Callithrix jacchus: one gene and its partners. The protein of the gene in region 1 purifies or fractionates together with the protein of each later gene. This does not show direct contact. Links are inferred from orthologs where the notes say so. Each region holds a gene or a part of one and is shown in the gene's direction. Other genes may lie near its edges.

Region 1 (8,404 bases):
TGACAGCTGGGGATGGGCTTTGAACCCAGCGCACATAGCTAGGAATGTTTACAAGGCAGCTCTAGCTTTCCAAAGTTGCCTTTACAATGGGCAAGGGTAGCCATTAACCTCCACCACAGGACATCAGAGGCAACACTGACAGGAAGCTGTGAGGTCCCAGCCCACTAGGGTTCCATGACTCTATGACCCCTGAGCTGGGGACATCAAGAGTCTGCCCCAGGCTGATGCTGCTGAAGCTCTCTAAGCCTTACTTCCTCCCCTTCCTTCCATCAGCCCAAAGGGCTTTGATGTTAAGGCATCCCTGCTTCTGTGACCATGGGCTATGGAACTGGCTAGATCTGGATTTGAAACACTCACCTCTTAAGTGATCGTAAGAAACTGACTTATGCTTCTGCTTCCTCTTCTGAAATAGGGAACGTCAAAAGGCCCACCTCCCACAGATGCCATAAAGATTCAATAGAGCCGTGCCTTGAGAAAACACAAAACAGTACCTGGCACATACTAAAGTGCCCGTCTGCTATTGTTACATTGATGCAGCCTGGAGAAATCAGACTCATGCTGAACATGGTGATGATCCTCTGGGGTGGGGAGCAGGTCCTGGCACACAGGCTGACGTACCTATGCACCCTTTCATACAACCCAAGCAGTACAGCCTTTTTACCCAACATATAATCCTCCCCATTCCACAGGAAACTCCTTGAGAGCAACACAGGGACCTAGTTGGGTCTAGGTCTCTAGGCCTTTTCCCAGGAGAGAAAAAAAAAAAAGACCAATCAAGGCCCAGCCCAATCAGTGCCCTTGATCAACAAACATGTACCGATGAGCCCTTCTGTGCTGGGAACTGGGGAGAAGGAAGACACCCCACCTGACTTTCCAGGAGTTCAAAGTGCACCTGGGGAAAAAGACAAGGAACCACTATCACAGTAGACAGAAAGTAATGAGGGCTGAGTGTCCCTGAGAATATCAGGAGAAGCAGGTGATATTTAAGCTGGACCTAAAAATTAGTCAAGACATGGAAGGATGGCATTTCAGACTGAACCGACAATGTGAACAAAGGCCTAGAGATGGGAAAACTCAGGGTTTGTTGAAAGAAAAGAGTGTGAGGTGAGGCTGAAGAACTGGAATGGGAGGGGACTGAGGTGGGAGCTGGCAATGAGGCCAGTGAGCCTCAGGAGCAGGGAACAGAAATAAAAGTCATAGCTTCCATGGAGAAAAGGAGGGAGGGCCAGCAACTTTAAACAGAATAGTCTCAGCATGTCTCTTAGAAGTGACATGTTAAGGCTGGGCACGGTGGCTCATGCCGTAATCCCAGCACTTTTGAGAGGCTGAGGTGGGCAGATCACCAGGTCAGGAGTTTGAGACCAGCCTGGCCAACATGGTGAAACCCCGTCTCTACTGAAAATACAAAAATTAGCTGGGCATGGTGGTGGGCACCTGTAATCCCAGCTACTCGGGAGGCTGAACAGGAAAATCACTTGAACCCGGGAGGCAGAGGTTGCAGTGAGCCAAGGTGGCACCACTGCACTCCAGCCTGGGCAACAGAGCAAGACTCCATCTGAGAAAAGAAGAGGAGGAGGAGAAGGAAGAAGAAGGAGGAGGAGGAGGAGAAGAAGAGGAAGAAGAAGAAGGAGGAGGAGGAGGAGGAGGAGAAAGAGAAATAATGACACATTGAAGAGGTAAAGGAGTAACCATGTGACTATCAGGGGGAAGAGTTTCCAGTCACAGACTAGCAGTGCAAAGGTCCTGAGGCCACAGGGCTGCCAGGTCGGTTATGCATTTAAAAGACCAGTGTTAGTGGAGCGTGGGAGAAGGGAGAGGGTGGTAGAAAGAGAGGTTAAAGAGTTAAAAGCGAGCCAGCTCCTGAAGGGCCTTGCAGGTCATGATAGGCCTTTAGCTTTCCTTTGGATGAAATGGAGTGCTAGTGTAGGATTTCCAGTAAAGGAAGGACGTGCTCTGACTTAAAGGATCGCTCTGACTGCTATGCATAGAATCAGCTGCAAGGGGCCAAGGGTGGAAGCTGGGAGACCAGTAAAGAGGCAATTATGAAATTCCCAGAGGAGGGGGAGGATGGTGGCTGGAACCAGGGCGGTAGCTTTGTGGCGGCTCGCCTCTGATTCCCCGTGTAAAAATGGAGTTTAGGATACCTGCCCTGTGTCCAACCCGCAGCCTCAAGCCCGCCCCCATGGGGATGGAAAAGTCGGGAACCTCGGGCCAGCGCGGTAGCAGCGTGGAGAATACAGGATTGTGGGGGGATTGTGTAGGATTGTGGGGCTCATGGGCAGCTACCTGCGCGTCCGGGTCCCTGGTGCCCACGAGAAAACCAAGACAGGTGCGTGCCCGGCGCCGCACATCAGGAGGGCAAGAATCCGTGGAGGGAGGGGCTGTCCACTCACTCTTGCTCCCCAGAGGCTGAACAGGGAGAATTAGGAAGAGGGACGTCTCCTCAAGAGTCCTAGAACCGGTCCTGGGCACCCGGCATTTTGTGCGCCCTAGTATGCGGCCGCTCCGCTGCAGGTGTTGGTATCACGCGGGGTGAGCCACAGCATGCCCCCAGTGAGCCGACCCCCCCCCCCGCCACCTCTGCTCCCTTTGTCTCGCTGGCCCCTACTCCCTCTGCCAGCCTCCCTGTCCCGTCCCAGGTTCAGCACGTACGGCCCTGCTGGGGTCTCTCTGGCTGTAGCCGTAGCCGCGCGGCCCCACCCGGGGCTCCCCAGAGGAGAAAAATCATGAATGAAATGGATGCGATACTCCCACTCCTCCGCCCTCCCTGTCCAAGCAACCTTGGTGTTGGGGAGACGCCTGCCGGGACTCCGCGCAGAGTTGCTCGGAAGAGGGAGGCACCTGAGATGGGGTCAGGGGTTAAGGGTGTGGGATCCGGCCCCCTTCGGGCCCCGGGACCAGCGGGATCTCCCGGTTCCCCGCCCCACCAGCCCCACCAGCCCCACCAGCCCCACCAGCCCCACCAGCCCCACCAGCCCTGCGCAATTCCCGGGGAGCGGCGCAAGCCCGCCTGGGGGCGGGGCGGAGCCGAGCCGGGGCTGGGGGGTGCCAAAAGCACCCGGCGGCTGCGCCGGCGACTCCGCAGCTGAAGCGCATTTGGTGAGGCGGTCGGGCAAGGGAGCGCGCACGGAGCGCGGGACGGAGCGCCGGGCGGACGGACCGAAGGACGGACGCCCCCGCACACGCAGACGCACTGAGCTCGGCGCGGCCCCCGTCGCACACACTCTGGCACAGACACAGGCAGGGACACACGCAGACACACGCACACTCGCGCGCGCACATCCTCCCTCCAGCCTGCCCGCCCGCTCATCTGCGCCCGGAGCCCGCTCTGGCCGGTAAGTGTGGCGCCTCGGTCGGCGCCTTTGTGTGCGGAGCCGGAAGGTGGAGGGCGCGGGTCCCTCCTGAGGCGGCCCCGCAGCTGACACCTTCTCCAGCCCTTAGGGCGGAGGAGCCGGCGTCCGCCCCCGCCACGCCCCCGTGGGGCTCCGGGCGCCCCCAGATTGGGGGAGGGGTCCCCCAAACAGAGGAGGGGGCTCGGCGCTTGGTAACCGGGATGGAGCGGCAGCCACTCCCCACGAAGCCGGTGCACGGTTCCGGGGAGGAATTGGGATAGTGGTTTGGCGTCTGAGCCTTTGCGGCCGGCGGAGGCTGGTGCGCGGCTCTGGGCTGCATCGCCTAGCCAGAGTCCGAAGCCCCTGAGGGAGGTTGGACATCGCCGCTAGCCTGTTGGTCTGTAAACCGCGGCTCCCAGCCTTCCCATCGCTTTGCCTCCACCGACCCTTTAGCTTTAGCCTCCCGCGTCCCACCCTCCCCCAGAATAAAAGCTTAGCGCGCTCCCTTCCCCCAGCATGCCGCTTGTTTCTGGATGAGGCGCAGGCTCCGGCAAAACCGGAGATTGCCCGGGTCAGAGCCTTGGGAGGGCTTGCCTTATCAAGGATCACAGGGCTTAGAAGGTCAGAGCGAGACGAATCTTGGGAACTTATTCAAACCCCTCATTTTACAGATAGGGAAACTGAGGCCCAGTAAGGTGGCTTGACCAAGGTCACCTGAGAGTTAGTGGTAATGCTTGCATTAGAATCTAGGGTCCCTGGGTTTCATACTCGTGGCCCCTCCTACACAACTAGATCCTACCCCCACTGAAGCCCCAGAACCCCAAAATTCACCAGAGTGTACCACGAAAGTCTAATTCCAGCCCTGCCCCACTTGGAGAGGCAGGTGCCATTCATTTGCTACCATCCCTACTGTGCCACAAAAAAAAGGGGGGGGAGAGGGGAGGGGGCTTGAATTTGCTTCATTCAATCTCAAAGGAGAGCTCTCATGTCTCTTATTCAAACACTCCAGATTTGGGATTCCTTTTGGGAGAATGAAGAAGCCCTGGACCTGAGATCACATTCCCAGGTGTTAGTCCTGACCCAGCCAGGACACACTGAGCCTGAGTATCCTCAGTTGGGCTAGGTGATGTGGCATCCCAGGATTTGTCCTCTTCTCTACTATGTCCTGACTGCATGCCCTCCCAGTCACCCTTCCCTCCCCTTCAAGGGCCCAGGTCTTCTACTTCAACCAGGCCCCTTTCATCATCTCTTTGCGAAGGTCTCCACCTCTTTCTCCTTGGGGCTTGTTAAGGGCAGCCTCTTGGTGCTGCTGACAAAGCTTCTGGGGAAGCTTGAGTTACAGTCACCCCAGGTTTGGGTGGTTTCTCAGCATAAGACTCCCTCAAGGGCAGCCAGCTGTCCCCAGAGCTGAGCCTGATGCCTGGTGCAGAGAGAGTGCCCCGAGAGGTGTGTTGAAGGAGTACAAGCTAGAGGGATGGTGAAGGGATGCAGTCAGTCACCTTGGAAGAGACCTGGATGGAATAGTTGGCAAGGAGGGCAGTGTTCAGTCTCTAGGGACCTGATGTTCTGGTCTCAAGAACTTCCTTTTTAAAATTATTTTATTTCCATTGGGCTTTTGGGGAACAGGTGGTATTTCGTTACATGAGAAGTTCTTTAGTGGTGATTAGTGAGAATTTGGTGCACCCATCACCCAAGCACTATACAGTGAACCCAATTTGCAGTCTTTTATCCCTCACCCCCTTCCTCCTTTTCCCCAGTCCCCAAAGTTCATTGTGTTGTTCTGATGCCTTTGCATCCTGATAGCTTACTTCCACTAATGAGTGAGAACATATGATGTTTGGTTTTCCATTCCTGAGTTACTTCACTTAGAATCATAGTCTCCAATCCATCCAGAACTTCCTTTTTGTGTGAGCAAAAGGGGTGAGCAGAGCCAGGGTGGGCCAATTAGCAGAACTTCAGGGGCTGCTACTGACAATGGAGTCCATATAGATGGCATTGTGCTCCAAGAAGCGCTGTTTATACAGACTTCATAATGAATGGTGGCCCTGGGGTTTTGCCAAGTAGAGGTTTCTACCTCGAGAGAGAAGAGATCTGGATTCCAGCCCAGTGTCTTCCTTACTGGCTGTACAGTGTCCATATATAACCCACTGGGGTCTCAATTTCTCCATCCAAAAAATAACATCATTGAATTGATGATGTTATGAACTATTTGGCAGTGGGGCGGGGGTACCACTTATTTATATAACTGCTATGGGCTTCTTTTGCTCTGTGAAGGAATAATTTCTGACTCAAGGATAATGTATGTAGGGTACTTAGTACAGTGCCTGGCATGTAGAAAATGCTCAGGAATTGGTAGCTAGTAATTCCACTAGGACCCAGCTTTGTGGGTGTACCCTATACTTTTTCCTTTCTTCACATCATCCAAGCACATGGGATTCTTAAGGCCTCAAAGTCCTCCCCCCTCAAAAAAAATCCTTTCCCCACTGACCTATTCCTGGACTTAGGGCTCAGCCAGCATAAAACATCCATGAAAACTCCCTGGGAGGAGCAACTGTTTATTCAACGTTTTATGTGTTAGCATGATAGAATTTCATAATTAATTTGCATATAGTGTCAAAAGCTTTTCCTATATTTTGTCACTCCTTGTAACACATCCATGACATCAATAGTGTTATCCCTATTTTACAGTTAGGGAAATTAAGACTTGGATTTTCACTTATCTAAGGGTGCATACCGTGAAAGTCTCAGATCCAGAGAGCTAGGCCTCTGGCTCAGGTGATCTGACTCCAGATTCTGGACTCTTTCTTCTGTCATATTGCCCGTCCTTTCCCAAGGCTTGCCCTAAAAAAGAGGCAGATAACCTCTTAAAAACAGTTGAGAAGAAAGAGGAATTTTCTTCTCCTCACAGGTCAGGAATGGCTTCTTGGGGAAGCTAAGTAGCATTCAAACTGGGTCTGAATGATTTGTACTTAGAAGAAAGGAAGAAAACTATTTCAAAGAGTAGAAACAGCATAAGCAGAGGATGGACAGGTAAGGGAGACTTCTAGAATATATACAGAAACTGCAAAGCAGTTTATTCCCACTGGAGGAAAAAGAACAAAAGAAGAGTCTTGAGAAAGAAGGTTGAGTAAGGGGATGAAGGTGATGGAGGGGGCACTGACTGCCATGCTAAGGGGTTGGCAGTCTTTAGTGTTTGAGTGAGGGAGAAACATGATCAAACCTTAACATGTTGAAACGCACTCTGGCTACCCCATGGAGAACAGATTGGATGAGGAGAGCCTGTTGGCTGGAAGCCCGGGTAGGAAATGATGACAATGGTTTAGGTGAGATACAGAGAGTATGGACTGGGGGTGGTTGTAAGAATGGCTCAAAAAAGGAATTGATGTGAGAGGCCACAGTGTCACTAAAATTGGTAACTGATTGGATGGCACTAGCAGGAGGGAGGAATAAGTGATGGCAAGGCTTGAGACCAAATGGACAAGAATGCCACTTACAGACAGAGCCCATCAGGAGGAGGAGTGGGAAGCTTAGGAGTAAGGGCTGTGAATCTACCAGGGACCATCATGATTCCTCCTGAAAAGCTGGTTCATCAAGCACCCTAAACTATCAAGAACCAGTTCATCTAGTCATTTATTCTCCAAATACTTATAAACATCCGTTACATGCCAGGTTGTTCTAGCCCCTAGGGATACGTTGCTAAAAAGACAAACTTCCAGCCCAGGCTCTACCAGGGGAGATGGAAAATAAAACGTAAGCAAAGATAAAATTGTTCAGGTGCTGAGCAGTGAGTGCTTTGGAGAAAAATGAAGTAGGATGAGGAATGACTGGGAGGAAGAGTGGAGGATGAGACTTGCCTTAAAATAGAATTGTCTTTGAGAAAGTGATATTTGAACAAAGACCTGAATGAAGAGACCTGGGGAATAGCATTCTAAAAAGAGGAGACCACAGATGCAAAGACCCTGGGGTAACCATAGCTTGGTGTCCTCAAGGAACCTGAAGTGTAGCTGTTAAAGACAGACAATAGGGAAAAGTAGTAAGGAAAGGTGAGACAGTGGGAAGAGCCAATCTTGTAAGGGCCTATAGACCTCAGGAAGCTGCATGATGTTAATGAATCTGACAGGACATATGTCCTGTTCACCTTACATTCTTTGTGCCTAGCAAACCATAGTTGTTGAATGAATGAACGTTGGAAATGACCACTTATGTATGAGACTGCATATCTTGGACTTATATGAACCAGTAAATAAAGATGTTATGCCATAGTAAGGGTATAGTAAGATGTACTGTGATGAAGATAATAAAGCTCAGATAACTTGAATTCTGTATTGTCACTCAAGTATGAAAAATTAAGTGAAATCTGCATATTTTATTCAATACAGCTTGATATTATAAACATTGCTGCTAAGACTAAATAGTAAAACATACCTGAAATAACTGTAAAACAATGAAAACGATAATGTTTTTGATCTTCCTTCATCCTCCTCCCAGCACAAATACACATCCTTCTGGCTTCATTTCAAATTTTCTCTTGCACTCTCAACCGTTTCCTTCATAGAGGTTTTAAAGAAACTTATCTCTAACACAAAGACCCGTATTTGCAGGACAAGATGTTATCATCTCCAGTAAATTGACAGATTCCCAAAAAGAGAAGGCAGTAGGGAGGGAGAAATTATTTATAGACATATAAATGCTTCAGGCACCTAATTAATTGTTAAATGGATCTACACGTAGAGATGGGAAAACTGGCTGGCCCATGTGAGGGGCCAGGTGACATGCAGGCTCAGGCTTAGAATCACAGGCTCTCCAGACCCGCTGGTCAAGATTCCATCTGAAGCCACAGATCTGTCACCTGTCACCTCTAGAAGGTAAAAACTCAGGTCATCTCAAGGGAAAAAAAAAATATTATAAATTCTTTTTGCTTTTAAGCAGTGTTATCACCAAAAGGCTCTTCCTTATCTTAGGGAATTATGGAAAATAAGAGTTATTTAACATCTCCATCTTTTCCACATCTGGTGAGATGTAGAATGAGCATCGTGGCCACCAGTGTCTGGTAAAACTTAGAAGTTTCCAAA
Region 2 (7,356 bases), on another chromosome or scaffold:
TTCCTGGGAAGTGGGGTGAAGGGTTCAGGGCCACTAGAATGAAAGGGGATTGAGGAGAGGGGAAGTCAGTGAGTGGTCAGTCTCTTCCTCTGTTTGTAAAGTCACCGCAGGGGCGCCTGGCTGGTCCCCAGCTTTCTCTCTAGAGATCCCAGGCCTCCACAGCAGGAAGGAACCAGCATTGTTTATGAATTGGCCAGAGCCAGCTCCTGCTCCCTCCCCTCCCTGCCAAGGCCTGGGTGGGGCCACCAGGCCTGGACTCCCACTTTGTAAGGCCACAGCAGCAGCCTCTCTCTGGTCCCCTCAGCTCGGCCTATGACCACGTGCGCAAGACTCGAGTGGCCATCAAGAAGATCAGCCCCTTCGAGCATCAGACCTACTGCCAGCGCACGCTCCGGGAGATCCAGATCCTGCTGCGCTTTCGCCATGAGAATGTCATCGGCATCCGAGACATTCTTCGGGCGTCCACCCTGGAAGCCATGAGGGATGTGTATCCTTCACCTTGGCCTTCATGGCCTCCGAGCTGGGCTGGGGAACCATCACTTGCTTTCTGTTTCCATCTTCCCCACCATCCTCCAAAAAAAACCCAGTAAAATAAACTTTCCTGCAGAGGAGAGGCCACAGTGTAACAGGACTTGGAGGCCTCTGATGAATCCAGGCCTGTGGCAGCCGGGCAGTATGGCCTTGAGCAAGTCGGTTCTCTGCTCTGTGCCCCAGGGGGAGAGCTGGGCAGGATGGTCTCTATGGGAGTGTTGTCTTCTGACATCTGCAGTTCTGAGACATGACCCGGCCACAGCCCACAGTCACTTCTTGATAACAAATGGACGATTCTTTTCTCTCTTTTCTCTTTCCCCAGACTGGAAGGGAGACAGGGAGAAAGAAAGCTGTCAGCCGGGTGCAGTGGCTCACGCCTGTAATTCCAGCACTTTGGGAGGCCAAGGCAGGTGGATTACTTGAGGTCAGGAGTTGGAGACCAGCCTGGCCAACATGGTAACATTGTAAAACCCCATCTCTACTAAAAATACAGAAAAAAAAAATATATATAGCCGGGCCAGCTACTCTGGAGGCAGGGGTAGGAGAATCACTTGAACCCAGGAGGTGGACAGTGAGCCAAGATCATGGCATTACATCCCAGACTGGGTGACAGAGCAAGACTCTGTCTCAAAAAAAACAAAAAAACTACCTTTCTTGAGGGCCTATTGTGGGTCAGGTACTATATATGCCCAGTGCTTTATTTATTTATTTTGCTATTACACCTTCCAGCTATCCTATGAGATGGGTTTTTCAGCTCCATTTTTTTTTTTTTTTTTTTTTTGAGACGGAGTTTCACTCTTGTTACCCAGGTTGGAGTGCAATGGCACGATCTCAGCTCACCGCAACCTCTGCCTCCTGGGTTCAAGCAATTCTCCTGCCTCAGCCTCCCGAGTAGCTGGGACTACGGGTGCGCACCACCATGCCCAGCTAATTTTTGTATTTTTAGTAGAGACGGGGTTTCAACATGTTGACCAGGATGGTCTCAATCTCTTGACCTTGTGATCCACCCGCCTTGGCCTCCCAAAGTGCTGGGATTACAGGCATGAGCCACTGCATCCGGCCTTCAGCTCCATTTCAAAGATGAGGGGTGGAGAGCAATGGCTCACGTCTGTAGTCCCAACACTTTGGGAGGCCAAGACTGGAAGATTGCTGGAGACCAGGAGTTCAAGACCAGCCTGGGCAGCATAGTGAGACCCCATCTCTACAGAAAATTTAAAAATTAACCAGGTTTGGTGGTGCACAATTGTAGTCCCAGCTACTTGGGAGGCTGAGGCAGGAGAATGGCTTGAGCTCAGGAGTTAGAGGCTGCAGTGGGCTGTGATTGTGCTACTGTACTCCAGCCTGGGGGACAGAGAATGACCCTGTCTCAAAAAAAAAAAAAAAAATGAGGAAGCTAAGACCCAGAAAACCTAAAATCAAGTGTTTCTCTTGCTGTCTCCTCCTCCCCTCCCCCAGATGGGAAGTTGTCCTTCCTCTAGGACTTCTCACTCCAAGCAGCACCCTAATCACCTGTGGACTTGCACTTTGCCCAGGGAGGAGACAACCTAGCCTTGGTCTCCTCCCCTGATATTGCTTTCCTGGTTTGCTGTCCACTTCCTGGCTGGCTCTTTTGTTAGCAACTTGTGACACCTGTCACCTCTTCCCTGCCACACCCAATCACTCTCGGTCCCAGCACTCCACCCAAGAGAGGGGATTTGTACTCTGGTGTCTATAGCCCCCACCACAAACTGTGGACAGGAAATCTCCGCGTTCAGCCCCAGCTCGCTGTGTCATCTGAAGCAAGTCACTGCATCTCACTGGGCCTCCCCAGCTCTAAAACAGCAGGGCTGGTCCAGATGTTCTCTGAAGACTTCTTCAAGGCAGACCCCCCCTCCCCCCCCCCCCCCCCCCCCCCCCGCTCTGTTGCCCAGGCTGGAGTGCGGTGGCTAGATCTCCAATCACTGCAACATCCACTTCCCAGGTTCAAGTAATTCTGCCTCAGCCTTCCAAGTAACTGGGACTACAGGTGTGCACCACCACACCCGGCTAATTTTATATTTTTAGTAGAGATTTCACCATGTCGGCAGGCTGGCCTCGAACTCCTGACCTCAGATCACCAACCCACCTTGGCCTCCCAAAGTACTAGATTACAGGTGTGAGCCACAGCGCCTGGCCTCAAGGCAGATTCTAAAAGACAGACCTGACTTATTTTTCCAGACACAAGCCAAACGACATTTGTGGATTTATTTATTTATTTACTCACAGTCTTTGTTTTAGCTTCAAATGGAAAAAGACATTTTACTCCTCCATCTTCTGAGGTATGGCCAAGCACTCTTCTTTGAGTGGGAGTGTGCTGTTGGGAGTGTCTCCTCGTTTTTCTTGCACAAACCATTCCCATAAGGCAGGCATTTATTTTTAAGCAAACATCTATTGCATGCCAGATGGTGTTCATCCATTATCTCATTTAACTCCCGCGGCGTCCCTGTGACTCAGGCCTTGATATTAGTAATAATAGTTCACGTTTCTTTAGCACTCACAACTTGCCAGGCGCTGGGCTGACAGCTTTACATGCGCCACCTCATCTAGTCTTTACAGCCACCCTCGAAAGAACCATTATTTCATGCTTGCACCTGTAATTTCCAGCACTTTGGGAGGCCGAGGCGGAAGGAACTCTTGAACCGAGGAGTTCAAGACCTGCCTGAGCACATAGCAGGAGTCCATCTCCACAAAAAAGAAAAAAGCAAATAAACAAACAAAAAACATTATTTCCCCGACATACTAGGTGAGAAAGTTGAGGCACAGACAAGTTGAGATCTTAAAGCCAGTGAGTAGTAGAGAGAGGATTTCACACATCCATGGGTTAACTCCTTTTTATTTTTTAAAATTAATTTATTTATTTTTGAGACAGAGGCTCACCCTGTCATCCCAGCTGGAGTGCAATGGCAAGATCTTGGCTCATTGCAACCCCAACCTCCCGAGTTCAAGCCATTCTTATGCCTCAGCCTCCTGAGTAGCTGGGATTACAGGCACATGCCACTGTGCCCGGTTAATTTTGGAATTTTTAGTAGAGACGGGGTTGTGCCATGTTGCCCAGGCTGGTCTCAAACTCCTGGCCTCAAGCAATCCTCCTGCCTCAGCCTCCCAAAGTACTGGGATTAGAGGCGTGAGCCACTGCTCAGCCCCAGTTGCTGCTCTTAACTGTGAGGTTCTCCTGCCTCCCACAGTTTATTAGTATCCCCATTTTCCCAGTAGAGAAACTGAGGCCACAGAAATGAAGCCTTTTGCTCAGGCTCAGCAGCTTCAATGCAACAGAGGCTGAGTCCTGCTGCTGGGTGACAACGGCAGCTTGCCCAGCTGGCGGTGCAGGTTGGAAGTTCTATTGAGCCCCAAGGGCCCTGGCTGGAGGTGTGCAGGCTTGCCTTCAGAGCCTGTTTTCCTTAACCAAGTGCCTCCCGCTGCCCCTTGCCCGGGGGGCCTCCGGAACCATCCTTAGCTACATTGTGCAGGACCTAATGGAAACTGACCTGTACAAGTTGCTTAAAAGCCAGCAGCTGAGCAATGACCACATCTGCTACTTCCTCTACCAGATCCTGCGGGGCCTCAAGTACATCCACTCCGCCAATGTCCTCCACCGGGATCTAAAGCCCTCCAACCTGCTCATCAACACCACCTGCGACCTTAAGGTCAGAGGGTTGGGCACCTGTCTCCTCCTCCCCCAGGGTCTGGAGCTTCCAGGTGACCAGTGGAAGCCATTGGCAGGAGAACATTGCAAGCCAGGGGAACAGCAGAAGCAAAGACAAGGGGGAGTGACTGCTTGGGCTGCGGAGGCCTTGAGTGCCAAGCTTAGCAGCTGGGTCTGATTCCAGATCTGTGATTTCGGCCTGGCCCGGATTGCTGATCCTGAGCACGACCACACTGGCTTCCTGACAGAGTATGTGGCTACACGCTGGTACCGGGCCCCAGAGATCATGCTGAACTCCAAGGTAGGAGGGGCTGCCCACTCCTGAAGGGAAGGGGCCAGGTCCCAGGAAGCCCTGGAGCTACCTCTGAGCCAGGCACTGACCCCCATTCCACCCTCTGGGCTTGGGCTCTGCAAGGAAGCTGAGAGTGGAGCCCTCCAGGCCTCTGCCTTCTGCCTGGTGTTGGATCTAGCTTGGGGTGGTGGCCTGGCACAGGCAGCAGGACCCTGTTGAGGCTGTCCCGGGAGCCCATCACTTCCTCCTTTCTCCCAGGGCTATACCAAGTCCATCGACATCTGGTCTGTGGGCTGCATTCTGGCTGAGATGCTCTCCAACCGGCCCATCTTCCCTGGCAAGCACTACCTGGATCAGCTCAACCACATTCTGGGTGAGGGAGTCCCGGCTGACTGAGTGGGGGATAATTAGCTTTTCCTAGGTGAGATTTCTTGAGAGTCCGAGTCAGGGATATCATCATCATGTACGGGGTGCCTCCAGCATCTCCTAGACCTCAACGAGGTATAGATATTATCCCCACTGGAAAGATGGGAAAAGCAAGGCTAAGTCCTACACCTAAGGAGGCACCACACCTAGGATTTGAGCCTCAGTCTGCCTGAATCCAGCCCCTTGCTCTGCTGGGAGAGCAGACTAGGAGGTGACTAAGAGTTTGGCATGGGTTGCTAGGCTGGGGGGTCTTGTTCTTGCCCTCTTGCCTGTTCTGTTCCCAGAAAGGAGGAGGTGATCATTTACCAAGTCACCTCCTTATCCACAGGCATCCTGGGCTCCCCATCCCAGGAGGACCTGAATTGTATCATCAACATGAAGGCCCGAAACTACCTACAGTCTCTGCCCTCCAAGACCAAGGTGGCCTGGGCCAAGCTTTTCCCCAAGTCGGACTCCAAAGGTATGAGAGACGTGGGGACGGGTGTGGCATAAACCCTGGGAGCTGTGGAGGGTGCGTGAGTCCAGCAGCCACCGGAGGAGACGGGCCCTGGGCATGGGGAAGCAAAGCGATGCTCCTGGGAGCTCCTCCAGCCTTCCCTGTGACCCCTGACTCCTGCCCTTCCATAGCCCTTGACCTGCTGGACCGGATGTTAACCTTTAACCCCAACAAACGGATCACAGTGGAGGAAGCGCTGGCCCACCCCTACCTGGAGCAGTACTATGACCCAACGGATGAGGTGGGCCAGTGCCTAGCAGCAGCGGGGCTGGGGGCAGGGGATCAAGTCGGCATTCCCCACACCGGGCCTGAGCCTTACCGTCTCTGCCACCCCAGCCAGTGGCCGAGGAGCCCTTCACCTTCGACATGGAGCTGGATGACCTACCCAAGGAGCGGCTGAAGGAGCTCATCTTCCAAGAGACAGCACGCTTCCAGCCTGGGGCGCTGGAGGCCCCCTAACCTAGACAGATATCCTGTGCCCTGGGGCCTGGTGAGTGTCCCCATGGCCCGCACACAGACACACTGATACTAAATATAGATCTCTATCTCTATATCCACACCTACAGCTATCTCTGTCTCTATCTACCTCTCTCTCTATCTCTATCTAAGCTGCAAGCTTGCCCCGCACCCATGGTCCATGTGGCTGGTGACATCAGAGGTGCCCAGGGAGCTGGGCATGGTGGCTCATGCCTGGAATCCCAGCACTTTGGGAGACAGACTTAGACCAGTAGGTCACCAGAGGTCAGAAGTTCAAGACCAGCGTGGCCAACATGGTGAAACTACTAAAAATACAAAAATTACACACCAAAAACATATAAAAACTACTCAAAATACAAAAATAAGCCGGGCATGGTGGCGCACACCTATAAGACCCAGCCACTCAGGAGGCTGTGGTGGGAGGATTTCTTGAACCTGGAAGGTGGAGGTTGCACCACTGCACTCCAGCCTGGGCAACAGTGAGACTCTGCCTCAATAAAAGAAAAAAATGCCCAAGGACTACCCAGACTCGTGGCCCACCCAGTCCTCCAACCCCAAATGTCTCCACCTGTCAACACCCTGCATCCTCCAGCCCCAGGAGCCATTCTAATCTTCTGGGAACAGAACTAGCAAAGAGGCAAGAGGTTACAGAGGGCCCCTGTCACCCAGGTAAGGACCTGAGCCAGGCCTCAGCTCTGGGTGTGGCAGAAGCAGGTGGAGCCATGATCGCTTTGGGAGGGGCCCAGCATCACCCAGCCTGACCCAGATGGCGAGGCCTCCTCACACCTGCTGCCAGGTTAGCAGTTCACATAGCTGTGGGACCCCACTGGGCCTGCCCCCACCCACACTGCCTCCTCCAGTCTCTTCCTGTCTCTGGCCAGGTGTGGCCTGATAGGAAGAAGGCAGCACACCTGGGCTCAAACTGCAGCTGTGCCACTTAGTAAGTGCTGTGTGGTATTAGACAAGGCACCTCGCCTCTCTGTGCCTCAGTTCCCTGGAAACAGTTTTATTTATCTTGTTTTGTTTTTGTTTTTTTTGAGACAGTATCTCACTCTGTTGCCCAGGCTGGAATGCAGTGGCACAATCATAGCTCACTGCAGCCTCAAATTCCTGGGCGCAAGGGATCCTCCCAGGTAGCTGGACGAGCCTTTGCAACTGGCTAATTTTTTTTTTTTTTTTTTTTAAGAGTTGGGGTCTTACTATTTGCCCAAGCCAGTCTCCAACTCCTGGGCTCAAGTGACCCACCCGCCTCAGCTTCTCAAAGTGCTGGGATTACAGGCATGAGCCACCACACCCGGCCGAGACAGTTCTAATAATGAACGCATAAAACCCTAAGCATTGTTCTAAGAGGTTCGCATGTATTAATCCTTTTAATCTTACAGCAGTACCTTGAGCTAGGTACTATGATTATCTCCATTTACAGATAAGGAAACTGAGCTCCAGCCTGCCCAGCTGTGAGGGTGATGGGCTGCA
Region 3 (7,646 bases), on another chromosome or scaffold:
CTGTAGGAACTATGTGACTCTCCATTAATGCCTCTTTTGGAATGGACTTACTTAAAATGTGTTCATCTACATTCCTTGTCCTCCATCCTGTTTATTATTTTTAGAAGTTGGTGCATCTTCCATAAACCATCAGCATTTTTACATGATGCTTGCTTTTGTTCCCTGTTGCAAGACTTATTTTGAAAATCTTTCAATGTGGGAGTCAGAATTTAACAATTGGTGGTCATGGATTGGTTTTTGGGTCTCCCAGAAACAATGTATAAGGATTAGGTATAGCATCCTGCAAGATGCTTCTGCCATAAATAATGCCTTTAAGTTTATTTCATTGTAGGTTAGTAGTAATGCTTGATAGCTATTACTGTATAGACTGATTAATCTTATAAACTTGCATAATGTTTGGCAGTCTCACCCTCTGTACATTTTAGTGATAAAATGGATATGGTCTCTGAGGGGAGAAGGATTTGAGAGAAATTACATAGTGGTAAAATGTTCTAACTAAAAGCATGCTCTCTCCCTTGGGCCATGCAGTCAGTGGTCCTCTGGCTGCATAAGATTTCTTGAGTCACTGGTAACCATTTAAATAGTTGTACTTGAAGTTGCTATGGTTTCATTAGTAATTTTGCCTAACACCTTTGTGAACTAGCTCAGGCATATTAGTTAGGACTTTTAGGTTTTATTTAAAGGTAAGTTATGTTTGTCTCTTCTCTGTAAAATTATTTAGGAAAGTTGAAAGAATAACCCAGTTATTATGCAATGTCAAAAATATAATTATGTGCAAAGCAGTCTTGTAAGACTGAAATTGGATTCTTTCTTCCTCAGTTTATGCATCTATTTGGGGTTAAAAAAATACGGTGACTATGATTAGGACAGAATATTGCTATGTTCTTGCCAGCCTTCTTTATTAGTTAAGATTAACTTTGACAGTAAATACAGAATTGAGAATTATTAAGGAAATTACTCAGATATATTGCTTCCCTAGTTATTGTGACATTTATACAAATTTTTAAAAAGTCCATTCCCTTGATGTAAATTTTGTATTAGCTGAAAGAATTGTTGGAAGAATATGTGTTGTGATTAAGATCATGGTCTGTGGGGTCAGACAGTTTTAGATTCAACTCCTGACATTCCTACTCTTTTTGACAATGAGTAGATGGTTTATCCTTGTTCTGTCTCTGTTTCCTTGTCAATGAAATGGGAATGCTAATGGACATTATCTCACAGAGTTATTGGGAAGAGTACGTGAGACATGGACATAATAAACTGCTTACTGCAGTGCTGGGCACAGAATAAGTGCTAGTTAGTGCCTTTGGTTATGTTATGTTGAGGCTGGAACATCTCCTGAATCAGAACATTTCAGTCTCATTTACTTATTAAATTATATTTAGAGTCTACTCTTTCCTCAAGGCAGTAGAAACATGCAAGTTTTAAAAATATGAAATGCTAAAATCTTACCTTAAGGTTACCACTAGGTTAAGTCCTGTTGATCTTCATGAAATTGAGAACTGACCATGGCTGCCCTACAGGGAAATTATGACAGAGAAAAAAATTCCATTCCTCTTGGAGGACAGAAAGGAATAAATATATTGTATTAGTTATATGTGTAGTTCACACATGTTTATTCTTATAATACATTAATAATAGATCTAAATTACTGACCTGCTTTCCTCCAAAATTCATAAAAAATGAAAAAAGAAATGAAATGAAATCAGCATTCTTCATAGTTCAGCTGATATATATTATTACCCAACCTCAGGAATAAAAATGATTCTTAGATGGTAAATAAAACTCACCCTTATTTTAAAAAATTCAGCCTCTTAGCCAGGTGCAGCCGGTAATCCCAGCACTTTGGGAGGCCGTGGCAGGAGTTTGAGGGAGGCCTGAGATCAGGAGTTTGAGACCAGCCTGGCCAACATGGTGAACCCTGTACTAAAAATACAAACGTTAGCCAGAGCCGGATGTGGTGGTGCGTACCTGTAATTCTAGCTACTTGGGAGGCTGAGGCATGAGAATTACTTAATCCTGGGTGGCCTAGGTTGCAGTTAGCTGAGATTGCACCACTGCACTCCAGCCTGGGCAACAGAGCAAGACTCTGTCTGCCAAAACATAAAAATAAAATAAAAGCAAAAAAAAAAAAATTCAGCCTTTTTAGTACCGATCTACTTTTTATGTTTCCATAGCTGTGTAATACAGTAATGAGTGGGTTAAGGCATTGTGTCTAGAATATGTGTGGTGAACCTGTTGGACTTGAATGTAATCATTCCCTAATCTTACTACATAAAGATGGGATTAATAACCAGCACCACACCTGTGAGGAGAAGTTCTGGAATGCCTCATCTTGCCTCCAGATAAAACATGTTCCTCCTTCTTTTATGGTAAGTGCAGGAATATTGTCCATGAACAAAATCCTTTTACCAGTCATTCCTGAAAAAGAATTAGAGTTTGAAAATCAAAAAATACTCCTATTTTAGAACCTATAACATGGAAGGCTTACAATGAGGTAAAAATGTAGTGGTGGATTTAAAACTACAAGATACTTTATTCTAGCCGTGCACTAAGTTATACTGTGTATTTGTCATGCAAGAATAACATTTTTGAGGAAACTGATATTGACACATGTATCTTTCTAATTCCTATCTTTGCTTTTGTTGTTTTCTTTTTTATTTTTTGTAGAGGTGGGATTTCCCTATGTTGCCCAGGCTGATCTCAAACTCCTATACGCCTCCCAAAGTGCTAAGATTATAGATGTGAGCCACAAAGCTCGTCCTGTTTTCTTTTTTCTTGAGGTAACCTGGAAAAAGATGTCAAGTAGGAATGAGTATGAAATGTTTAGAATAGATGGCAGGTAGTTAAGTTAGAATAGTAATGGTGGGAGGCTGAATTGGGAGGATTGCTTGAGACCAAGAGTTAAAGCCCAGCCTGGGCAACATAGTTAGACCCCAATCTTTAAAAAAAAAATTGTTTTTCAAATTAGCTGGGCTAGTGGTGCACACCTTTAGTTCTAGCTACTCAGGAGGCTAAGGTAGAAGGATCACTTGAGCCCAGGAATTTGAGCTTGCAATGAGCTACTATGATTGTGCTCATGATAGAGCATCACCCTGTCTCTAAAAAAAAAAGAATAGTGATGTTGAAACTGAGGTAATGAGGTGCCCCCTCCTCAGCACACCCCCCCCCCCAGAAAAAATGAATGGTTGTTAACTTTTAACTGTCATTGTGGTACAGCTACCATTTTAAAGGAAGGGTGGCCTTCTCTTAAAAACTTAGAAAAGTCAGGCCAGGCACGTTGGGAGGCCGAGGCGGGGTGGATCATGAAGTGAGGAGTTCAAGACCAGCCTAGCCAAGATGGTGAAACTTTATCTCTACTAAAAATACAAAAATTAGCTGAGCATGGTGGGTGCACACCTGTAGTTCCAGCTACTTGGGAGGCTGAGGCAGGAGAATCTCTTGAACCCAGGAGGTGGAGGTTGCAGTGAGACAAGGTCACACAACTGCACTCCAGCCTGTTGACAGAGTGAGAGTCCATCTCAACAACAACAACAACAAAAATTACAAAAGTCTTGTGAAGATAAGAGCTTTCTTAGGGGTTCTAGATTGTTATGTAACTTTTCACTAATTTCTAGGTATCTGGTGACCCATCTCATGGGGGCAGATCTGAACAACATTGTGAAATGTCAGAAGCTTACAGATGACCACGTTCAGTTCCTTATCTACCAAATTCTCCGAGGTCTAAAGGTACAGATAATATAAATAATAATTTTTAAAAATGAATTCTCCCTTTTCCCCCTCCTTTTAGGGCTTAAACAAATAAACAAGTAAACAACTTTTCTTATGGAAAATTCAAACACACAGAATCACAAGTAAAAGTCATATATGATAAACTGCCATATTCGCTCATTGACAACAGTTATTATTGACATATTGCCAATTATGTTTCTTTTGTATTTTCCAAGCCCTGGATTATTTTAAAGCAAGTCTAGACATATTATACCACCCATAGATACTTTAGTATGCATATCTAAAAGATAAGGTCTCTTCATTGTTATATCTAAACAGTAATTTATTGATGTAATCTTATATCTGGTCAGTGTAATGTTGAGATTTGTTTTAAATCATCGAGGAAGACTAATTTATTTATTTATTGGAGGGGCAGGTAAACAGTATTTTAAAATTAAACTATCTTTGATATTTAGCCATTTTGAGTTCTGTTGAGCTCCAGAGTACCAACCAGAAAATAGATTAAAAGCTCAACTGAGTAGAGTCAATAGCTGTGGAAATTATAGTTATGGTAAATGTACTCAATACTGATAGTTACTTATGCTAATTTCTAATCTCACTGTTAACACTAGTAGTTCTTATTGATTCATGAAAATATGCAGCAAATATATAATACGACAATAGAAGGTTGGAATAACTTTGAGCTTTTTCTCTTTTGCAGTATATACATTCAGCTGACATAATTCACAGGGTATGTATTGTGTCTTTGATTACATTATTTTGGGGAAGTGGGGTGAGGGTGGAAGAATGGCATTTAGCCAAGGTCCTAATCTAAACTTACTTTAACCATTGAAATGTTGATTGATTGCAACTTTTCTCTAGGTTTAGACTGATTAAAGAAAGAAGATGATAGGTTTTTTTCTATGTAAGGCTAACGTGGACTAAATTTTGACTGTAGGATGGAGATTGTCTTTTGATAGCTGGATGAAGTCTTTTATGTCTAGTTCCTCATTATTTCCTGTAGGAAGAGAATTGATCATGCATTATAAAGTTGATCCTGTCTCTGTACTTGTTTCCTAGGACCTAAAACCTAGTAATCTAGCTGTGAATGAAGACTGTGAGCTGAAGGTAAAATGAAGAGACAGTAGTCATTGTTTGCTTTACTTTGAGATTATATGCCTCCTACTAAGGAGGCAAACTTTCGTAGGGAGATTTATGAGCCATGACTATCTGAAATTCATATTGTTTTTATTATCAGAGTTTGAAATTTAAAACATTTCTCAGTAAGCTAAGTTACTTTAGAAGTAGCATCACTTGTTTTCATTTTAACATAAATTAGAAATTTAATATATTAATCATAATAAAGGAAGATAATAGTCAAATACCAAGTAAGCAATGCTGAAGAGGTGATAACTAGATTAAATAGATTTCTAAGAGGAAAAATGGCAGAAACCTATCCACTCAAAATAATTCAAATAAAAGATAAGTGAATTGTTTCTAAAGAGCAAGTATTTCTAGAACTTGCTTTGTTCCATTTCATTTTTTTAATAAAAAAAATTTTCATTAAAATGCAACGTTTTGTGTACAGTTTGGCAAAATTATATATCCACTCAACTGTCACATTTATGATAAAGAACTTTTTTTTTCTTTCGAGTTGGAGTCTTGCTCTGTCACCCAGTCTGGAAGTGCAGTGGTTTGATCTCAGCTCACGGCAACCTCCACCTACCGAGTTCAAGTGATTCTCCTGCCTCAGCTTCCCGAGTAGCTGGGACTACAGGGGCATGCCACCACGCCTAGCTAATTTTGTATTTTTAGTAGAGACAGGGTTTCACCATGTTGGCCAGGATGGTCTCCATCTCCTGACCTTGTGATCCACCCTCCTTGGCCTCCCAAAGTGCTGGGATTGCAGGCATAAGTCACCGCTCCTGGCCAAGAACATTTCTGTTACTTTAAAAAGTCTGTTGTGCTCCTTCCTAGTCAATCCCCACCCTTCCACCCCTAATTCTCGCTCAAAGCAACTATGGATCTGCTTCTAACACTATGATTCGTTTTATCTTTTCTGGAGTTTCATGTACATGGAATCATATAGTGTGTATTTTTGTGTATCTAGCCTTTGCTTAGTGTAATGATTCTGTATTGTTGTGTCAATGTTTTTTTCCTTTTTATTGCTAATAGTATTTTGTTTTATGAACATGTCAGGATTTTTAAATCTGTCCACCTGCTGATGGACATTTGCTTTAGTTTGACTATGAGGCTATGTAAAGCAACTGTGAATATTCATGTGCAAACCTTTGTATGGCCATAAGTTCTCATTGCGCTTGATTAAATACCAAGGAGTGACATTTTTGTTTTGCTTTTTGTAATTCAGTTTTTTGAGTTTTCACTGTAAGTTTACCATGCACTCTAAGCATGGACCAGGAAATCTCTTTATAAAAGTGCTATCTTGTTTTCCTTTTTAAAAAGGCAACAGAGTTGTTGTTGTTGTTGTTTTCCCCTGCCTGTTTATAAGTCTTAACAGTTTGTCTGTTCCTCTTCTGCCCTTTAGATCCTGGATTTTGGACTGGCTCGGCACACAGATGATGAAATGACAGGCTACGTGGCCACTAGGTGGTATAGGGCTCCTGAGATCATGCTGAACTGGATGCATTACAACCAGACAGGTATTACTTGCACTGGTTATTTAGGGCCTTATTTAATTCTATGTTGGATGCATTTGGGATTCTCAGAAGTAGAGATTATGGGAGGGGAGAGAAATATCTTTTCTTTCCTCAGTGATCCTTTTAAAGCCTACAGGTGAAAACATTTCACTTGCTCAGATGGGGAATTGGGGTTTTATATACAGCTTTTAAAGCTCGTGATTTAGCAACTGGGTTTTTATTTATTTAGATTTTGAATTTATTCTCTGAGTATTTATACCTGAAGACAAAGAGTCCATAATTTTAACCCCTCAATATTACTTGGAAGAATCTACCATTCTTTTGCTCCTTTTTTGAACAGCTTATTTCTCCTTTTTTTTTTTTTTTTTATTTCTCTTAAGTATGTTTTGACTTACCCCACCTTTGAACAGCCCTTTAGTGGGGTAAAGATCAAGCTCATTTATTTCTGTAAAAATGAGAATGATTGTTGAGGCTCAGAGGTTTTAAATAGTAATTTGAGTATTTCACTCCTAGTTATGGTTTTATTTGTTGCCAAGTATAATAACAGTGACATCACATGTACTTTTATTTCTCTTTAATATTGCCAGTTGATATTTGGTCAGTGGGATGCATAATGGCCGAGCTGTTGACTGGAAGAACATTGTTTCCTGGCACAGACCGTATCCTTTAAAAAGTTTTGGATTCTTGTTTCTTATTTGTATTCTGGTGTCCATGGATGTATACTCCTTTTACTTATCTCTAGGGAAGGCTCTCAGTTTTTTGCTTTTATAGTCCAGATAATATGTTATGAGGTCTCCCTTCTTACTGAGTAGCTTGCCCTGCCAAGAAAGAGGCTTCAGTTTACTTTCATGAGTTGGAAAAAATTCCTCCTAAGCTGAAAAACCCTTCAAATCTGTCATCTTTTTGCAACAAACCCTTATTAATCATCCCACAGTGGTTCTGAGACCTGAGCATACTCATGAAAAGCTCTGGATCCCAATGACAGGTTTAGTTTACTTGTATAAACACTTAATGAGTACAAGATACCCATTTATAATTAAAGGGTGTCTTGCTATTATGTTTGTTTTATGTATCAAAAAGGCTATGTTTGGTACCTGCAATGATATATTGTTTATTTGTTATGTTTGTTTTTTGACAACAAATAGTAAAAGCAAGAAGTGACAAGGTTACCCTGTCATGTGCTTTTTTTTTTTCCCAGCACAACTTTATCTCAGATGGCAGCCAAACCAATTAATTTACTCCCAGACTTACCGTCTAGTTTATGGTTTATTATATAGC
Region 4 (7,330 bases), on another chromosome or scaffold:
TAAGAGACAAGATCTTACTCTGTCACCCAGGCTGTGGTGCAGTGGCACAATTATAGCCCACTGCAGCCTTCAACTGCTGGGCTCAAGCAATCTTCCTGCCTCAGCTTCCTGAGTAGCTGGGGCTATAGATACGTACCACCAAGCCCTAATGTTTTTTATAGAGACAGGGTCTCACTATGTTGGCTGGTCTTGAACTCATGGCCTCAAGCAATCCTCACACCTCAGCCTCCAGTAGTTGGGATTATAGGCATGCGCCACTCAATATGGTGTTTTAAAGCCAGAAATCTAAGTTTGTGTTTTGGGTTAAGTATACAGCTTCATGAATAACTTGTTCAAGTGAGTTTCATGTTACTGAAACACCTTCACTTCACCAGATTTGCTTGCTGAAAATGGTCGCTTAAGCAATACCCAAGGAGTTGTTTCTGCCTTTTCTACCATGATGAGTGTCCACCGCGGAGAGGTTCCCTGCACAGTGACCACCGCATCTGTAAGTAACGGGTTGTTGCTGCTGTCTTGGCCTTGATGTTACATATGTCGCCTTTTGCAGAAAAGGGAAAAAACAAGGTAAAATCAAGAAATTGGAAAAAGTAACTTGTCAGCTGGGATGTTTCCTTCATTTTTATATCAGCTTCTGTGACCCTTTGCTTTGGAAACATCAGCATACATCTTATTAGTGCTTCTGTAACCGGTGATTATTCATAAGGCCTGGGTGAAATGGAAAGAACATCAAAATGTGTGAGAAAAGGGTGGTTTAGAACTACCACTTGAAGTAGTTTACTGAAAGTGCAATGGCACAATCTTGGCTCACTGAAACCTCTGCCTCCTGGGTTCAGGTAGTTCTCCTGCCTCAGCCTACCGAGTAGCTGGGATTGCAGGTGCCCACCTCCAAACCCGGCTAATTTTTTTTTTTTTGAGACAGAGTCTCACTCTGTCACCCAGGCTGGAGTGCAATGGCGTGATCTCAGCTCACTGCAGCCTCTGCCTCCCAGGTTAAATCAAGTCTCCTGCCTCAGTCTCCTGAAAAACTGGAATTACAGATGCGTGCCACCATACCCAGCTAATTTTCTCTCTTTCTTTCTTTCTTTCTTCTTTTTCTTTCTTTCTTTTTTTTTTTCTTTCTTTCTTTCTTTTCTGTCTTGCTCTGTCACAGTCTGGAGTGCAGTGCTGTGATCTCGGCTCACTGCGCCTTCCGCCTCCTGGGTACAAGCAATTCTTCTGCCTTAGCCTCCCAAATAGCTGAGATTATAGGCACGCGCCACCACACCCAGCTAATTTTTGTATTTTAGTAGAGATGGGGTTTCACCATGTTGGCCAGGATGGTCTCAATCTCCTGACCTCGTGATCTCGGCCTCCCAAAGTGCTGGGATTACAGGTGTGAGCCAACACACCCAGCCAATTTTTATATTTTCAGTAGAGACGGTTTCATCATGTTGGCCTGGCTGGTTTCAAACTCCTGACCTCAGGCGATCTGCCTGCCTTCGCCTTCCAAAGTGCTGGGATTATAGGCGTGAGCCACTGCACCCAGCCTGAGTTTATTTTTTTGAGACAGAGTCTCACTTTGTCACACCTCACTGCAGCCTCAACCTCCTGGGCTCAGGTAATCCTCCTGCCTCAGTCTCCTGAGTAGCTGGGATTACAGGTACACCCCCACCACACCCAGCTAATTGTTTTCTATTTTTGTAGAGGTGGGGTTTTACCGTGTTCGTCAGGCTTGTCTCAAACTTCTGGGCTCAAGTGATCCACCTGTCTTGGCCACCTAAAGTGCTGGAAGTAGAGGTGTAACCCAGCCTGAAACTAGAGTTACTAATCTTTCCTCTTTTGTGGTGGCAAATGGGAAGGAGTAGAGCAGATGGGCCTTTGTATCTTTTTGACTTGATAGAGTGGGGTATAATGGGCTACCATTTATTGAACGCTACTCTCTGCCGAGTTCTTCATTATTTTATACACTATCAAAAGATTCATGTGAGATAGAAGTGTAATTATCCTGATTTTACAAATGAGGAAACCGAACGCAGGAAAATGAAGTCACTTACCCAAGGTCATTACGAGGTGGGACCAGAATTTGAACACAGGCCTCTTAGAAGTCCATATTCCTTACACTACACTGCATTGCTCCCTCGAATTACTTTTGTTGTTGTCTTAAATATGTGTTTTCTTCCCTGTGTAGCTCAGTCAAATGTAACATAGCCCATTCTACAGGAAAACAGGAGAATGTGGTAGGTTTACTTGGGATTCATCACATCTGACCTCATCTAGATTAATAATTCTAGCATTTGGCCAGGTGCGGTGGCTCACGCCTATAAATCCCAGCATTTCGGAAGCTGAGGCAGGTGGATCACAAGGTCAAGAGATTGAGACCATCCCGGCCAATAGGTGAAACCCCATCTCTACTAAAATACAAAAATTGGCCAGGTATGGTGGCTCGCACCTGTAATCCCAGCTACTCAGGAGGCTGAGGCAAGAGAATTGCTTGAACCCAGGAGGCAGAGGTTGCAGTGAGCCGAGATCATGCCACTGCAATCAGCCTGGCAACAGAGCAAGACTCTGTCTCAAAAAAAAAAAAAAGTTCTAGCGTTGAAAGGACACTAACCTTTCAACTGGGATTTATAGGCGTGAGCCACCGCGCCTGGCCAAATGCTAACCTTTCCAGTTAGCACAGTTTCAAGGAGAAGCATCCTAGTACATCATACTTATTTGCACACTTGTAGGTCAGTAGTTGGTGCCCCCAAAACATGTACCTGGCTACAATCATTATAGCTCAGACATAGGCAGGGCTCCCTCTGTGGCCGCACTGGGGATCCCTAACAGTGTGGCACAGGTTAGGCATTCACCTGCCCCCCGTTCACCCATCGTGAAGCGCTGGCGCAGGACATTCTTCAGTACATACAAGGACATGATTTTCTTTCCTTTTCTTTTTTGAGACTGAGTCTCACTCTCCACCCAGGCTGGAGTGCTGTGGCACAATCTTGGCTCACTGCAACCTCCACCTCCCAGGTTCAAGCAATTCTTCTGCCTCAGCCTCCCAGGTAGCTGGGATTTTAGGCACCCTCCTCCATGCCCAGCTAATTTTGTATTTTCAGTAGAGACGAGGTTTCACCACATTGGCCAGGCTGGTCTCAAACTCCTGACCTCAAGCCATCCACCTGCCTCGGTCTCCCAAAGTGCTGGGACCACAGGCATGAGCCACCGCACCCAGCCAGAAGGACGTGGTTTTCTTTTAAAGGATGCTTATTTTTGCAAAAGATCTTAGAACCAACTATTACTAATGCTTTTGATTTTGATACCACAGGGTGTGTAAGTCTGTACTGTATGGATAAAATTACACCTTGATGAGTGACTAGGAGCACAGGCTTTAGAAATACACAGACCAATTTCAAATATTGAGGTTAGTCCTCACTTGCTGATGTGACCTCAGGTGAGTTTCTTAACCTCTCTGATCCTCGGTTCCCTCATATATAAAATGGGAATCAGAACCGCTGGCTCCCAGGGTTGCCCACATTAAGGGAGATAGTAGGTGTGAAATGCCTGGCATAGTCAGGCACCTGGCAGTTGGTGCATGTCTCAGTGGAGGGTGTGTATGTTTCAGAATTCCGTAACCTTGCAATCTCAGCAAATAATGTTTTGAACGTGAATAGACCTTGGCCATCACCACCCCCTGCCAAAAAAAGGATAGTGTGAGATCTTTACAAAGATACAAATTTTTTTCGCTAAATTTCTTTAGGCTCTTGGGAGGAGAGGCTAGGGAGGTAGGATTTATGACAAGTTAAAAAAAGGTCTTTGCAGCAGGGCACGGTGGCTCAGGCTTGTAATCCCAGCATTTTGGGAGACTCAACTGGGTGGATCACTTGAGGCCAGGAGTTCAAGACCAGTCTGGCCAACATGTTGTAAAACCCTGTTTCTACTAAAAATATAAAAATTGGCCAGGTGTGGTGGCATGCGCCTGTAATCCCAGCTACTTGGGTGGCTGAGGCAGGAGGATCACTTGAACCCGGGAGCCAGAGGTTGTGGTGAGCCTAGATCTCACCACTGTATTCTAGCCTGGGTGACAGAGCAAGACTCAGTCTCAGAAAAAAAGCAGGGGGCAGGGGGGTGAGGGGGCACCTTTGCTTCAACCACTTTTTTCATTTTCACCATTGTAACACCTAACTAACCAGGAGTAACAGTTGGGGCTGAGAGGAGAGTGCAGTCGGGACATTTAGGGTGCTCGCTCTAAAGTTGATTACGGAGCTGAGCTGACTTCAGGAAAAGCCAGCTGCTCCAGGTTCTCTCCCTGGGGTTCAGAGAGTGGAGTGGCCTCCCAGAGCTGCAGGTAACCGTGGATGCGGGGAGATGACAGCCAGTGGAGCTCGAGAAACATAAAGATGTAAAACCAGGTTAAAATGGCAACTTTTCACCCAAGGACATGATAGGGACATGTTGTGACCCTGGGGCTGCACCCACGAGAGGCCTTATCCTCCTGCATTGATAGAGCTCCATCTTCAAGCATTATCAACTTTGAGCTTTTCCTCCTCTGTTCCACGTTGTTTTGCTAGCACACGGAGCAGAGACAGGGAGTGGCATTTAGAGGCCGTCCATGACCCGCCCAGTGGGAGCTGCCCAGATGATGCTGTGAGGCAGGGCCTTCCCATGCTCCCTGAACCACCGGCACCAACAGGGAGTGAGTGCTGCCATGCCGCTCCACGATGGTCCCAAGTAGCTAGTGGAGGAGCTCACAGGCCTGTCTTGGTGATCTGGGCCTGGCGTGTTTTAACCATGGAAGTTTCTATTTTGCTTTATCTAAATTGAAAGGATGGTTTTTGTCTTTCAGCCTTTAGAAGAAGCCACACTCTCTGAATTAAAAACAGTCCTGAAGAGCTTCCTAAGTCAAGGCCAGATACTGAAATTGGAGGTTAAGGTGGGTTTTAAATTATTTATGGTATGTTTTCTCAGGTCATTTTAAATTTAAAATGGCTACAGAAAGTATTAATGACATATTAGATCTGGTTCTGTACTAATTTTTTTGTAGTTAAAATTTTGTATTTATTTTAAATTTAAATGATTATCTGACTCCGTGCAGTTTTACTTTTGCCTTTTTCTAGGTGTGATTGTAACATCTTACATTCCTGTGACACGTTTATGCCTTTCAAAGCACTTTTTCATGTGTCCCATTTCCAATCTGTTTTCTTTTGTAGACTGATCCATCAATCATGGGTGGAATGATTGTGCGTATTGGAGAGAAATACGTGGACATGTCTGCCAAGACCAAGATTCAGAAGCTGAGCAAGGCTATGCGGGAGGTTATCTGAAAGTGGTTTTCTGCCATCAGTGAAAATTCTTTAACTTGGAGCCACAATAAAAAGCTTCCAGAACAGACCATAGTATGTTCACTATCTTTTAAAGTAGAATGTAGAAGAGTTTACTTTTATGTCTTTCTTTTGGGATACCAAAAGACTTTTGAGTCTAAAGGTCAAAAAGCCCTTTTGGCCTAGAGAATTTGAGTAGACGGTTTTTAGGAATGGATTGTTTAGACGTAGCACCTAGCACATGGTCACTTAGCAAAGTCTGTCTGGTGCTGCCTGCCAAAATCCCATGTTTTTAGGGATTGCTCAGAACTCCTGGTCCCTGCTGAGTCATCGGATCTGCGCTTGCTCCGTCAGTCCTCCAGGGAGGCCTCTTTCTAATAAAATACCCTTAGTCCTGACATGAACATACCTTGTCCTAGGCTGCTCTGTAGCTTTCAGGGCCATTTCATGTACTTCTTAAGCTTCATGACAGCCTTGTCATATGGGTGGGACAGACATCACCCCACTTTACAAATGAGGAAAGAGATTGAGGGGCTCAGAGTCACCTGTGTGGACAGCTGGTCGCCAGGCTCTAGAGCCCTTGTTTGTCCCACTGTACAACTGACAGCACGCCCTGACATGTTGCTGGAGCAAACAGGCAAAAGTCATCGTACGTAGGTCCCCTGCCCCTTCCCATTTTGTCCCTAAGATGTTCCCAATTCTCCTCTTATCCAAAACCAGTTCCCAGGTCAGCTCTCCCCCTACATTTTACCTTTTGGCCTCTAGAGAAGGTAAGAGTTCCCCAGGCAACAGCCCACTCAGGCACCCGTTTCCTAGTCACCCTCCAGGAGCTTTGGGCCAGCAAACCAATTCTCTTCCCAGAACTGCCCTGGTTGGGCAGGGAGGAAGTCCTAAAGAGCAATTACATGGCCCAAGGCTACTCCCTGCATTCTAGTGCTGGGACCAGCATGCCCTCCATGTGGCACGACACTCCTGGCTCTCATGCTTGGCTTCAACTCCAGCTTCCTCCTGGCAGAGCTTTTAATACATCACCTAACAACCAGCAGAGACACCAGGTGGCCCCTCAACTTTCCCAGGAACCAGGAGTGCTGAGGCTGTTGGTTGGCCTGAAGTCCATTCACCTACCTTTTAGGTGGGCCTAGTGCTATCAGCTAAAGACCGTATTTTTGAGCCTCTGGTAGTACCTTAATGTGATGCTGAGTTGTAGCAAATAGGAGAGGAGAGGAAGTGATGTGTGCTTTCCTGGACTGCCCTCATGTCCCTCTGGCTAGATGCAGACAAGATGACAAGCCATGCCAAGGGCAAAGCCACCCTTCCAGGCCCGACTGCTGCCCTGAGCTGTTAAACATGATGAAGAAATAGACCTCACACCGAAGCCACCGGATATTGAGTTCTGTCTCTGCAGCTGAGTGCAACCTAACCACAACCTCGTTCCAGGTTCCGCCGACTCGCTGCGTGCAATGAGGCCCACTCTACACAAGGTGGCGTCATATACACAATCACAACTCCTACAGGCACGTGACCACCAATAGACAATCTGCTAGAGCCTCATGCTGCTGAATCTGCCCAGATCTTTCAAACTCAGCAACCTTCCTGTTGATCAAATATATAATCTCAGGGAATGATGAGGCGCTTCATATGTCGCCTTACAAGGTCACCAGAGAGAACCCAGAGATGTGTGTACAATGATTTGTTTTGTTTTTTGAGGCAGTCTGTCACCCAGGCTGGAGTGTGGAGGCACAACCACAGCTCACTGCAACCTCAACCTCCTGGGCTCAAGCCATCCTCCCACCTCAGCCTCCCGAGTAGCTGGAACTACAGGCGGTACCACCACACCCAGCTAGTTTTAGTATTTTTAGTAGAGATGGAGTCTTGCCGTGATGCTTAGGCTGGTCTTTAACTCCCAGGCTCAAGAGATCCGCTGGCCTTGGCCTCCCAAAGTGCTGGAATTACAGGCATGAGCCGCTGTACCCAGCCTACAATTATTTTCTTCACAATATTTTTTTAAATCAAGATGAAAGTTTTTTTGGTTTCGGGGTTTGTTTGTT

The links.
Region 2: the proteins of PTPN5 (region 1) and MAPK3 purify together in Homo sapiens (affinity purification with mass spectrometry; 4 studies listed by BioGRID and IntAct, with this or other methods). This does not show direct contact. The link is inferred for Callithrix jacchus from reciprocal best matches to the Homo sapiens genes PTPN5 and MAPK3.
Region 3: the proteins of PTPN5 (region 1) and MAPK14 purify together in Homo sapiens (affinity purification with mass spectrometry; 3 studies listed by BioGRID and IntAct, with this or other methods). This does not show direct contact. The link is inferred for Callithrix jacchus from reciprocal best matches to the Homo sapiens genes PTPN5 and MAPK14.
Region 4: the proteins of PTPN5 (region 1) and ATP5PO purify together in Homo sapiens (affinity purification with mass spectrometry; 3 studies listed by BioGRID and IntAct, with this or other methods). This does not show direct contact. The link is inferred for Callithrix jacchus from reciprocal best matches to the Homo sapiens genes PTPN5 and ATP5PO.

Annotation. Positions count from the first base shown.
Region 1 is NC_133511.1:84,756,403-84,764,806, reverse strand, and holds the start of PTPN5 (tyrosine-protein phosphatase non-receptor type 5), read left to right. Parts: upstream 1-3,092; 5' UTR 3,093-3,335; intron 3,336-8,404. UniProt on the Homo sapiens protein: May regulate the activity of several effector molecules involved in synaptic plasticity and neuronal cell survival, including MAPKs, Src family kinases and NMDA receptors.
Region 2 is NC_133513.1:29,407,817-29,415,172, forward strand, and holds part of MAPK3 (mitogen-activated protein kinase 3), read left to right. Parts: intron 1-304; coding exon 305-487; intron 488-4,003; coding exon 4,004-4,193; intron 4,194-4,376; coding exon 4,377-4,493; intron 4,494-4,742; coding exon 4,743-4,857; intron 4,858-5,238; coding exon 5,239-5,370; intron 5,371-5,537; coding exon 5,538-5,647; intron 5,648-5,742; coding exon 5,743-5,865; 3' UTR 5,866-5,896; intron 5,897-7,306; 3' UTR 7,307-7,356.
Region 3 is NC_133505.1:44,384,143-44,391,788, forward strand, and holds part of MAPK14 (mitogen-activated protein kinase 14), read left to right. Parts: intron 1-3,617; coding exon 3,618-3,729; intron 3,730-4,432; coding exon 4,433-4,462; intron 4,463-4,791; coding exon 4,792-4,839; intron 4,840-6,256; coding exon 6,257-6,371; intron 6,372-6,955; coding exon 6,956-7,027; intron 7,028-7,646. UniProt on the Homo sapiens protein: Serine/threonine kinase which acts as an essential component of the MAP kinase signal transduction pathway.
Region 4 is NC_133522.1:39,976,135-39,983,464, reverse strand, and holds part of ATP5PO (ATP synthase peripheral stalk subunit OSCP, mitochondrial), read left to right. Parts: intron 1-374; coding exon 375-487; intron 488-4,807; coding exon 4,808-4,894; intron 4,895-5,171; coding exon 5,172-5,285; 3' UTR 5,286-7,330. UniProt on the Homo sapiens protein: Subunit OSCP, of the mitochondrial membrane ATP synthase complex (F(1)F(0) ATP synthase or Complex V) that produces ATP from ADP in the presence of a proton gradient across the membrane which is generated by electron transport complexes of the respiratory chain.